Linked DNA regions of Schizosaccharomyces pombe. The protein of the gene in region 1 interacts with the protein of each later gene in a pairwise test. Each region holds a gene or a part of one and is shown on either strand. Other genes may lie near its edges.

What was found.
Region 2: the proteins of ubx3 (region 1) and arg12 interact in a two-hybrid assay, tested with the Schizosaccharomyces pombe proteins (2 studies listed by BioGRID).
Region 3: the proteins of ubx3 (region 1) and tfs1 interact in a protein complementation assay, tested with the Schizosaccharomyces pombe proteins (one study listed by BioGRID).

What each region holds. Positions count from the first base shown.
Region 1 is NC_003424.3:1,652,035-1,656,461, reverse strand, and holds ubx3 (UBX domain-containing protein Ubx3), read right to left. Parts: upstream 2,398-4,427; 5' UTR 2,179-2,397; coding exon 946-2,178; 3' UTR 632-945; downstream 1-631. Other genes in the region: methylenetetrahydrofolate reductase Met11, read right to left, coding at 1-223; mrp17 (mitochondrial 37S ribosomal protein bS6m), read left to right, coding at 2,673-2,738, 2,856-3,106, 3,156-3,174; mug28 (RNA-binding protein Mug28, implicated in mRNA processing), read right to left, coding at 3,481-4,335, 4,386-4,427. UniProt on the Schizosaccharomyces pombe protein: Involved in CDC48-dependent protein degradation through the ubiquitin/proteasome pathway. Involved in delivery of substrates to the 26S proteasome. Also required for membrane fusion and sporulation.
Region 2 is NC_003423.3:448,908-453,092, forward strand, and holds arg12 (argininosuccinate synthase), read right to left. Parts: upstream 2,119-4,185; 5' UTR 2,097-2,118; coding exon 864-2,096; 3' UTR 533-863; downstream 1-532. Other genes in the region: nuclear membrane organization protein Apq12, read left to right, coding at 27-374; Clr6 and Rpd3L histone deacetylase complex subunit Rxt2, read right to left, coding at 3,082-3,509, 3,690-3,798, 3,848-3,972, 4,023-4,057, 4,107-4,132.
Region 3 is NC_003424.3:2,114,413-2,118,168, forward strand, and holds tfs1 (general transcription elongation factor TFIIS), read right to left. Parts: upstream 2,045-3,756; 5' UTR 1,970-2,044; coding exon 1,901-1,969; intron 1,844-1,900; coding exon 1,781-1,843; intron 1,606-1,780; coding exon 926-1,605; intron 863-925; coding exon 838-862; intron 789-837; coding exon 744-788; 3' UTR 501-743; downstream 1-500. Other genes in the region: protein dsc3, read left to right, coding at 1-351; ATP-dependent 3'-5'-directionality DNA helicase fml2, read left to right, coding at 2,457-3,756. UniProt on the Schizosaccharomyces pombe protein: Necessary for efficient RNA polymerase II transcription elongation past template-encoded arresting sites.

The DNA.
Region 1 (4,427 bases):
TGTGATGCTGCTCTAGCATTTTGGCTAAATAAATTGAGACCTCCGCAGTAGAACCAGCTGTACCCCATGTTACACTAGAAAATAATGGCATCATGTTTCGCGACATTCTCGTTATACGACTAGAAAGATTTTCCAAACCGACTGTGGTTTTCGGTGGAAAATACTCAAATGAGTAGAATGCGTTTCCATTAGGAATTTTATCAATCAAATCAACAATCTTCATGATTGCTTAGGGATATCGAAGCAAAATTGAAGGTATTTGAGGTGTGCGCTTAGGAAATGCCCTCTTCGCGATAAGTTGAATCAAATCATGGATTCGATGTAGTAACGATTTCTTACAAATTTTGGTTAACATCACTATAAATACAATAACCCATAAATTAGTACTACACTAAACAATAGCAGACTTTGCTGCAATGCTTAACTGCTTGTGTCAAGGTTTACTGAACAGTAAAGACTAAACGTATTTGCGCAGAAAAGTTGGTTGATATTTCAAACTCCAACATTAATTATTGTTTGATGGGAATTACATTCATGAATAATAGTTTTTGTTTATGTATATCTTAGGTCAATTTGCTAATACTTAGTGCCACGTTGATAGCATATCATAGCATTTCTTTTAAAATCAATGTTTTCAAAAAGGTCCTTTGGTAACTACAGATGTTTATTAATAACCATAATAGTGATAACTTTTAATTCCGGTTTTCAACTATCTCTGAGCTACATATCCTGATATAACCAATAAAATACTCAAACTTGGAAATTGTTTTGATGATTTAATAGGACATCATTAAATAAATAAAAGGTTTCCTTTCAGAAATAGAAATCAGATTTCTGACAACCCGAAATATGCTTCCCATATTCAATAGCTCTCACATATGTTCATATAATAATCCACGGCTCTTATGTCAACTGGGGATCACTATTTTTCCTATTATTTTTAGACTACAGAGATTTTTGAACAAGTGAGGCATTTTTTAATGAAGCAGCTTCAACAGTGACAGACGGATCATCTTCGAGAGTCTTTGCGGGGAAAGGTACGGAAAGGATGAAGTTGCCTGGTGAAACGGCGCGTACAGCTTCATAGATATCATGAAGTGTATGCGAGAGATTGACAGTAAGGACAGTTCTTCCACCATTTGATAAGCGTACTTGAATTCTCGTGGTGGGTTTATTTTCGTCAATCTGTAAAGATGCATGCGGAGTTGTTGAATTGGGTTTGACATTTATAGGAACAGAGGAAGAAGTAGAAGTATCAGTGTAAAGACCACCTGGCATTTGAGACATTCGTGGTTGCATGTAGGTAGAACCGAGACGTTGTCCCTTGCCTGAAAAAGGTTTGAACGGCGCTACATAATCCTCATCCATCCGATGCTGAACTACAACATCAATTGGTTGATTCATAGATACTCCTAGAAGATGCAAAGGTGCTCGACCGCTATTTATATAACGCAACATTTCTTGATTAGCGGGATCGTCATATGTATAGATAGGACCATCGTCTACACTAAAACCATTTCGCCAAAAGTACAAAGTACGACGTAAAGGCTTTTCTGGTTGACTCTCAGTAGGAGGATTTTCACGCGGAGGACCTGACTGCGTTACAGGAGTGGTCGAACCAGAAGCCTCATTTTCTGTGCCTAATCGTTGTCCGACACTAGCCCAAGACGATGCAAGACTAGAAGGACCTGAATCTTGCTCATCTAAAGGAGATATTGTGTGTTGACGTGCCTTTTCGAGAATATCGCGCACCAACTGTTTCTTTGGATCAGGATCACCGTCTTCTACAGAAAGCCCACTCTTCTCACCACCAGTAAAGAGATGTGATTTCTCTTCTGCACTTTCATCATTTCCCTCTAAATCCCTAAGCGTGGCGAATTTTTTTGATGCAGTTCCTGACTTCATTCCTTGGCCTTGAGTATTTTGTTGTCTTTGCAACGGTCGAGGTGGTTGTTGATCACCACCACTGATTCCACTTGAGCTTCCAGTAACTTCAGGAACTTTCGATACATCACTGGAAGGTTGCAACCCATGGTCTTCTTCAGGAGGTATTACTTCATGTAAAAGTGCAGTAGCCAATTCATAATTCCAATTCGTGGACTCTAAAAAAAAACGGCCCTGACTAACGTCAATATTATTGCGATTGCAAAATTCCTTTAAGATATCTTCCCTATCCATTTTACTTCTGAAAAAAAGAGAAGAAAGATTTCAAGTTCTGTAGTGTTTTTTTTAGCTGTAGAACAAACAAGTAGAAATGTGAAGTCAATTGATGACTAAAACGTGTTTGACTCTTTCGATCAATCTTCTTTCAAAAAAAATCAAGATTTCTTTGATGATATACTGCTAATAGCTGTAAATATCCTTTGTTGGTAACTGCTTGTAGTTGGTAAATTTCACGTTCATCTAATAAAGAGAATCTTGCTAAATAAGTTAAGTAACAAATATACGACCCAAACGTTTCGTGTTTTTCTCCTTTACGTTTGCTTTATATTTACTTTAATGTTAATATATTCTTTTCTTTTTAGACTGTAATTTACGAAACAGAAGTTTTTAGTGCTTAACTCAAACCTCTTCTTTTCCTAGCGTACCGCCAAACCTCTCACTTACAGACGCTAGTAAAAAGGTCACACGATAACAAGCACTCTTGATAGTTTGAAAAGTATAGCAATATAATGGTTATGTATGAACTTTTTTGTATAACTAGGCCAGCTGCAAATGCAACACGCACTTCCTCACCAGTAAGTTAGCGGTAATACCTCGTTTTTGCTTTTTGAAGAACCACAAAGCGATAGTCATTATCTCATTACTTTCTAGATACTGTTTTACAATTTGAATTCATGAACTAATAAATTTAGACTCTGGCCATGAATATTGCCAAAAATTGTGGTCGAGCAATCCTGGATAACAAAGGTGTGGTCGTTGATGTTGAGTCCATGGGACTTAAGGAACTGGCTAAACCTATAAAAAAACTAAATCAATCTTACTCTTTTGGTCACTGGTGGTCTATGACCTTTTACAGTAACCCCACAGTTCAATCTGAGATACAGAGGATTCTGAGACTTGAACCTTCGGTTCTTCGCTATATGATCGTCAAAAAAGCAGATAAGTATGTTCTTTTTATAAACTATTTTATTATACTAATTCCTTTTGTGTAGATTGAGTGATTTAATGTAGAATGAGCGTATTCATATTTTGAGAAAATAAAAATATTCGCAGAGCTGTCCAATTATCTTTTATTATTCTTGTTTTTTTGGGGTTTTTTCTTCTTTTCTTCTTTTATAAAATAAACATACTTTTCCAGAGCTAAAATGTGAAATTTCAACCGTTGTTAACGACTCCTTGTGTTTCAACTTTTTCCGATCTTCTTTGTATAATACTATGTCCCTAAATTTCATGGGAGATAGATTAAAAAAAAGAACTGTTAAAATATTTAAACGACAGGTACTGATATTATGTCCTTTAGACATATCTTGCTTTTATTTATTGGTTTAATACAATGTTGGTTAAAGGCGATAGTGAAGTTTTGAATGTGGAGTGTTTTATGCCGAATTTATGGCTTGGGTTTAGGTTTTCGTTTGAAATCACCGCTTCACGTAGCTTAGCGGCACATGAATCTAAACGAGTTGGTAATGTTTGTCTAGGATCGCTATACCCGTGCTGCTGTATAGATTGTATTAGAGGTTGAGGCCATTCCTGATGATACTCTAAAATTTGTGGTTCAGTAGCCATTGGAATTGTTAGAGAGGGCGATGGAACAACTGGAGGGTAAGATTGGCTAAATATAGCACTCAGTCGCTTTTTGCGATCTTCTCTCTTTTCTGCATAATTCACGAATAATCTTTTCTTTCCGAATAACACTCCATTTAACGTGTTAATTGCTTGCACAGCTTCAAATGGATGACTGAAGGATACGAAACCATAGCCTTTGGATATTTCTGTACTGGGATACGACGCTAAAGTGCAAGATTTTATCCTTCCAAATTTCGAAAACAGTTCTTCTAATTGTTGTGTGTTTCCTACTATATTATCATCCAAGTTTTTAACAAATAAATTACAAGGATCAATTGTCGGTGTTGAGGTTGGTGTTGGCGTTACTGTCGTTTCATACGATGTTTGGAAAGAAGGGAATGAAATAAATGGATTTGGCAAAGCAGAAGTTTTGGCAATCACTGGAATTTCAAACGGCTGAGGCATTTCCATATTTGGGGGCAATAAATTTGTCATGGTTCCTTCTGGGTGATTTAACAAATTAGAGCAAAATCCCTGAACAGGTTGTTTTATAAAAAGTTGTAAAATGGATCCTTCATACGCAATGGCGTGAAATTTTTCAATGATCTAAATTAAAAGGTCAGTAATGCTATAGCAAAAAATAGCTTGCTTAATACCTCTATGCAACTTTCATAGGTGCTCACAGCCACTTCTGCGTA
Region 2 (4,185 bases), on another chromosome or scaffold:
CCGTTCATATTTTAACTTTTTAGAAAATGTCTTTGACATCCGTTTTATGGAATTTCGTCGCCAAACTTGCTGTGGACCATGGATTAAATACCAATCCTGATCAAGTCTTTCAAACCGTTGAAAATGTAGGCAAAAGTTTCGAAAAATATGAAACGTCTTTCCTAAAATCATTGTTCAATGGAAATCTAGGATTGAGCTTGCCCTCAGCTATTAATATCTTGACTTTGATTATAGTGTTATACTTCTCTTTGGTCATTGTAAATAAGACTACCAGTATTGCCCTTGCCCTCTTCAAAACACTTGCTGTAATTTCTTTTTTCTTACTAATCGGTTGTCTCTTTGCTTACTGGTTTATCAATAACGGATCTTTTTGAACATTGACTAGCAGCGTTATCTTCTTTGTTTTTTCAGATTACCGAGTACAAAGTGTTATGGATATGCTTTAAAAAATTTTATTTTAGTAATATATTTTTCATCTTTTTTGTTCCTCATTTCATTTATCATTCAAGATGGTTTCGACATTATTCTTGATTTTAGGACTGTATACGAAGAATGGCTAAAGGCCTGTAAAATATTTTTTAAATTAAAAGCATAGTATTGAGTACATTAAACATCTTAACAATTTGCGTTTGCAATATAAAACTTCAATTTCAATTAGTTACAGTTTTCAGAATTTATTTTTTTTTTGCAACAAAAATATTCAATTGACTTATCAGTGATATGAACGGAGTAATTCTATGAAATGTGAATATGAAAAGGAAGCCATCTCAAATAATACTTCTTATTTGCACAGCAGAAATTTGATTATTGCTTGGCTCAAGTACATGGTGAGTATGACATTATTATTGAGAACGACCTGGCATTTACATCCAATGTTTTCCTTCATCAGAGTTACGCAAACGCATAGACTCGATTTGGATGAAACCAGAGGTCCATGTAGGGTCAAATCCACCAAGCTCATCCATAGATGACAATTTCTCGTCATAAAGATGAGCAGTATCAGATTTACGACCGAGGACAGTGACATTGCCCTTGTAGACAGAAAGTTTAACTACACCGTTTACTACCTCTTGAGAAACGTTGTTAGCTGCTAAAAGCATACGAGTGCAGGGAGAGAAAAATTGTCCATTGTACAAAATTTTAGCGAGATTGAAAGTAACGAATTGGTCACGGAGAGCACGAACTTCACGTTCCATTGTTAAACCTTCCAAGTCCATATGAGCAGTACGCAAAATGGTTAAGCCAGGAGTTTCGTAACAACCACGACTCTTCAAACCAGAGAAACGGTTTTCAACAATATCGATACGACCAACACCGTTACGACGAGCGATAGCGTTCAATTGGTAGAAGATGGAAACGACTCCGCTAAAGGTACCATCCTTGCACTCTAATTTGGTGGGAGCACCCTTTTCAAAGTGAATGCTGAGCTCTTCAACCTCATCAGGAGCGTCTTTGGGATCAACGGTGAGCTTCCACATGTCCTTGGGAGGAGTCATACTGGGATCCTCGAGGATTCCAGCTTCATACGAGCAATGTACAATGTTTTCATCCATAGACCAAGGCTTTTTGGTGGTTTGAGTAACGGGAATGCCCTTAGCAGCAGCATATTCGAGCAAATCCTTACGACCGGCGAAGCGCTCGAAAAATACAGGCAAACGCCAAGGAGCAATGACTTGAACGTCTGGCTTCAAAGCGTAATATGCCAATTCGAAACGAACTTGATCGTTGCCCTTACCAGTGCAACCGTGAGAGACAGCGATACAGTTTTCCTTCTCGGCGATTTGGATCTGACGGCGAGCAATGATAGGACGAGCAAGAGAAGTGCCCAAGAGATAAACATTTTCGTAAATGGCGTTAGCTTGAGCAGCAGGAATGACGGTGTCATTGATGAACTCTTCACGCAAGTCCTCAACGTAAACCTTCTTAGCACCCACCTTCAAGGCCTTTTCACGGGCTGCATCCCAATCTTCCTCTTGACCAACATTAGCCATATAGCAGATGACCTCCCAACCTTCTTCAATAAGCCAGGCGAGGATACAGGAGGTGTCAAGACCACCTGAATAGGCGAGAACGCAACGTTTTACTTCTTGGGGCATTTCTTTCTTTTTCTTGAGGTGTAGTATATGTTAAGTTAGTAGGCCCAACCTTTTAAACTGATAGCGCACTGATGTAATAATATAGCCGACACTATTTTTTACTATCTTTCTCATCAATAAACCATCTTTATAGATAAACGATGGAAATTTTACACACATCTGAAAATTTTTCTTAGTATAGGAATTCTTAACAAAAATTTAATTGAGAAATGTGTGAAAACAGGTTTCGGTTAAATTACATGCAGGAATCGTAAATATCTTGTCACACATGCATTGATTAGTGTGTCTGAATTTAGTTTTGAGGAAGAAAGTGATACAATCATATCAGGGACAGTCAAACAATAGTTCTGATGGTTTCAGGTTTTTAAAGATTGATGTTTACTTGAATATGTTTTGCGATAAATCCTTGTAATCTTGTTGTTTCAAGCACTTACATTGTTCTAACAAAAAGAAGGTTGGGCAATTTCACAACAAATAACAATTTTAATACTTTGGGGAAATGAAAAAGCAAAATAAAGGATAAGTAATGTATTAACATACAAATGGCAAGCACATGTTAGTCGGTTGATTGAACGAAAAAATATACAACAGTGATAAATGAAATTATGTAACAGCAAACGTAAACGTACTTCCCTTGGAAAGAATAAGTAGAAAAAAGTGTGGATAGAAATTAGGATAGCCAAAGGGAATATGTAAGTAGCAGTATCTCAAATTATAAGACAAAGTTTCTAATAGCTGGGGATGCCAAGCTTGAGAAAAAACCCAACGTTATGAAAAAGTAAAAGAAATAATTAAGTTTCATTGCAGAAGAAATCACCAAAGACGTTTTAAAAAAGGATAATTCTATTTTTATAATGTCGTAAAAAGGAATTGTAAATCGAATGGAATAAAGAATAATATTCTCAACGTTTTATTTTGCTGACTTATACGCTTCATCAGCTTCAAAATAATGAAATTGAAAAGATTGATGAGAAATCAATAAATTTTAGGAATTTGGTTTTCCATCACTCTCATTTTTAGACAAAACTTGGGTATTACCATTATAGTCTTCACCTTGGCAGTAAGCAATGACTTTGTTTTTAAAACGAATGGCCCGAAGAAGGTCCATGCGAACGTTTGTCCAGCATCTAATAAACTCCTTGCTTTTTTCCAAAGCTTCTTGAACTGTGATCGTCAATTCTCTACACTGTTCAGGAGAAATCCCAAACACTTCATGAGGTGGTCCTGGTAGTGATGGGTCATCACCTAAAAGTGCAACCATCAATTGTTCGAGATGAGCAGTATATTTGTGTTCAGCAGATATAATTTCAAGAGCAGAAGAAGCAAGGATTGATAAATAATTTTGTTCAAATATGGAAGATATAGCAGGATGTGTGAGCAAGTCTTGTGGTTTTGTCAGCGGTGACATGATCTCTATAATTTTTACTGAGTTAGCAAGCGATCGATGTATATGACCATGATTGGCGAGTGCTGATAACTAATATTTCAATTCAATTCATAATCAATCTTTGAAAACACAACACGAAATCTCCAAAAGCACAATGAATCAAAAAAATTGTATGTCTAACATAACTAAGTGTGTGTACGACTTACCAGCTATGTTTATATCGTTATATGGGTTATCATGGTCCAACCATTCCGGATCTATTCTCCTTCGAAAATGAGAGACAACTCCTCTTTTAGTATTACCAATGTTATAGTACTATAAAGTAGTGGTTAGCAGTTTACGATTCCCAATTACTCACACATACATCAATGTCTATAGAGGAGCCACTAGAGTTACCGACGCAACCATAATATACATTTTTCGATCCTTTCTTTCTTTTTAATCCACGATTTGTAAGTGCCTCTCCAATGGAAGAGTCGGAATCCGAGGCTATACGAGATGTTAGTGAAAATTATAAATCTCATTTTGACAATAATTACCATCAGAATCTTCAAATAACGCCTGCTTAAACCTTCTAAATTTGTTAGAAAAATACATAATACGTGACATTCATAAAAACCTACTCAATTTGTTCTTCAAATTGCTTCATGGTTTTTGGCACGTCAGATATTCATACTTACTCAATCCAGTACAAATTAGCGA
Region 3 (3,756 bases), 460 kb from region 1:
CGTGGTTTTGATCGTTTACGTGAAGCTGGTTTTACAGAAACCGAGGTCAATAATTTGCGTAGCCAATTTCATCGCTTACGAGGAACTAATTTGGATTCACTCACGGAAGACGCTATCAGAGAGGCAGAAGACGATTGGATTGACAATGGAGGACAAAACTCTTCTGCCGACGAACTTGACATGTCATATGAAACCTTGTTGGCTGGAGTATTAATAGGCTTTTTTGGAGGAGCTATTGCTTGTTATTTTCTTTGGGAAAGGACAATGTTCTCTCTGAGAATGCAATTATCCATTCTTGTCGGAATTATTTGCAATTTTGCATACGGCTTATTACACTCGTATCGATGGTAAACCCGTTCATTTTTGTTAAAATTTTTGTCCAATACAATTAATCGTTCCACTTTTCGTTGCACTTGTTAATTATGACTACAGTTTAATTGAGGATTAATAATGTCGAATTTTATGATCTATTCGCTTTGATCAAGCGTTAACTTATTAAATGTACGTTTAAAACACCATTTGGATTTATTAAGAAGTGTAAAGTAGGATAACTGTAAAAGTGTCGTATTGAGTGTGCAAAAGTAAAATATGCATATATTCATCGCTAGAATGAAAGATACCAATCAGATCCTAAAACAAAAAAAAACACACACAATAGAGGAGAGTGCTTCTAAAACAATAAAAAGAAGAAGAAATATGAAGGATTATTTTACAACCGGTATCTAAATGGGCTGACCCAAGATTTAAGAAAATTTCCAGCGATTTCCGCAAACAGTACATTCACAAAACTAAAAAAAAATTAGTCCAAATATTCTACCCAAATAGACTAATGCTTACCGTTGTCATAGGCTCATCAGCAGATCTATACGGATTGTTAATAAATTTTACGCGATAAAAAGTACTAAAATCATGACAAATAACATACCTTGTTTGCATTTGGTAATAAGAAACTTTTTTTTGCTTACACTTCCCACAAGTAAAAAGGTCTGTAACAGCTTTTTGGGGTTTAGCACCTTGCGCATGGAATAAATTTTCTTGTTCTAGCTTGGCATCTTCCTTGCGACGGTCTTCTGAAGCCAATTCGGCAGAAGTCATGGTACTGAGTCTTTGCGGAGTAATTTCATTTCGTAATACTGATGCTCTAAGTTTCGGGTTATTTTTATCTTTAAGATTCATATACAAGGACCGCATTCTGTTTCGATATTCAGAACCAGTTTTACCTGCTGCTCTAGCAAGTACTTGCGCATCAATTTCTTTGGCTTTGGCTATTATTAATGAAGAAGATTCATCCGAATCTATGACTAATGCATTGTACATTAATCCAATACAGTTGTTGCGAATCTTGTCATCAGTCACATTGACGTTCACATTATCAGATTTAAAAGTACGCTGACCACTGCTGCTTTGTTTTTGAACTTGTTTTTGAGCTTGAGAACCTACATCCGCATGTTTAGAAGGCGTGGAGGAAGTTGTAGTTGTGGTTTTCAATGGACGACCTTTACTAACATCGGCTTTCCATTTTTTTACAATTTCCCGAGCTTGCTCACCAACTTTCTCATTGGGATGAGATCTGAGCTTGCCAACGACTAATCCCAGCCGGGTTTCCTAGCATCATTGGTTAGTATTTTGAATACCGATTCTCCATCAAATGTTGGTACTCTTGTGGAATTCGTATTTTAAGAAAGATGTTATTTCTATTAAGTGAAATTTGCAAAATTCATGTAATATATTGTCAACAATCCGTGCGAGAATACTACCATATTGCATGTAATAAACCTACCTTAAGTAATTCTTCGGTAGCAACTACTTCATTTTTTAAACGTGTCATAATGTTAATTATAGTCTAGCTTGATATTAGCTTCAAAACCATCTGTAAGTCCCAATAGCACAAATTACAAACCTCTATATTCTTTCCCTGAATAGCTTTTTCCAAAGCTGCTTTCGCAGATCGGATATCAGCAGAGTCCATGATTCAAATTAAGTTCGAATACTGTAAACACTGCTGTTGGTTAGCAGATTGCAAAATTAATAATCTTATGGTGGTAGAGGATTTATTTTGGATAACGCGCTTTACATCTCACATGTCTACTAATACCGTTGTGATTTTTCTTCACCACCATAGTTGCTGATGTGAATATCAACACCCCGTAACGTGATTTTGTTAGTTGAATTCTTGAGTTTGACAGTTTTTTTTTCAAGTTTGCAAACTGTTTTCTGTTTATCGCATTAGTACTCGTGTTTATTTTACAACGTTAAATTTTCATGCTCCTCCGCTGACTTGATCTTACTCAATTGTTAATTGTTTTATCAGCTTTGTTTATGAAAAGCAAAGATTATAATGTTGTTTGATCAAATTGAAGAAACTTGATGTTCAAGAATTTAAAAGTTTGATATTCAGTTTATTTTTGAAACTTACTTTGGTCTATGTGTTCGTTCGTTTTCATAAATTTAGTTTCATGATTGTACTGAGAGACTCAAGTGACTATTCCGACTCTGAAGTAGACCTGCCAAGTATCGAGGTGAACGGAGAACGAGGAAATGTTCCTACCTCAGTGCTTTGTAATGTTGAAGGATCTTTGTTGAATTCTAATCCTGCTTTAAGGCAACCAAATTTGAAATGTATAAAACATAATCAAGACGTTGAAAATACTACGTTTCAACTAGACTTGCGAGGCTGTAGGGTTCCTTCTTCTCAACCTCAAGTTATAACTGAGTTAGAAAACAATATTGACATTCCAAAAAATATTGATGCAATGCAAAACTGGATTTTTCCACAGACTCAGCAGTATAGAAATTATCAAAAGGAATTTTGTGAGCAAGCATTATTCCACAATTTATTACTGGCTCTACCTACTGGGTTGGGAAAGACATTTATTGCGGCAGTGGTCATGTTAAACTATTTTCGTTGGTTTCCTGAAAGCAAAATAATATTTCTTGCCCCCACAAAACCATTACTGTTGCAACAAAGAGTTGCTTGTTCCAATGTAGCGGGAATGTCACCAGGTGCTACCGCTGAATTGAACGGTGAAGTATCACCGGATCGTCGACTTTTCGAATACAATACGAAACGAGTATTTTTCATGACTCCACAAACACTCCAGAATGATTTAAAGGAACATTTACTGGATGCCAAAAGTATTATTTGCCTGATATTTGATGAAGCTCATAGAGCTACTGGCAACCATTCGTATGCTCAGGTTATGAGGGCAGTGCTTAGATCTAATAGTCATTTTCGAGTCCTTGGTTTAACCGCAACTCCAGGATCTTCTACCGCCTCTGTTCAAAAGGTAGTAGATTGCCTCCATATCTCCAAACTCATTGTTCGCAACGAAGAAAGTATAGATATTCGCTCATATGTTTTTCATAAAAAGATTCAGTTGATTAAGGTCACGATCTCCTCTGAAATGAATATTTTAAAATCGGACTTTGCTAACCTATACCGGCCATATTTTAATTTTCTCCGTCAAAAAAAACTTATACCTATCAATTGTGAATGCCTTAATATAAAAGCTTATACGCTTTTCGTTTCTTTACGAAAGTATTCCTTTAGTTCAAAAAATGTACAATCTAAAGAAAAATCAAAAATCATGAGTTGCTTTACGCTATTGATTTCATGTGCTCATATAACGTATCTGTTAGATTGTCATGGGATTATCCAATTTTATCAAAAGCTTGTGGAAACTAAAAATAAAGCTGAAGGAAAAGGGAGTGGACAAAGCTTTTGGTTGTTTACTAGTAAACCGTTTGCTTTTTATT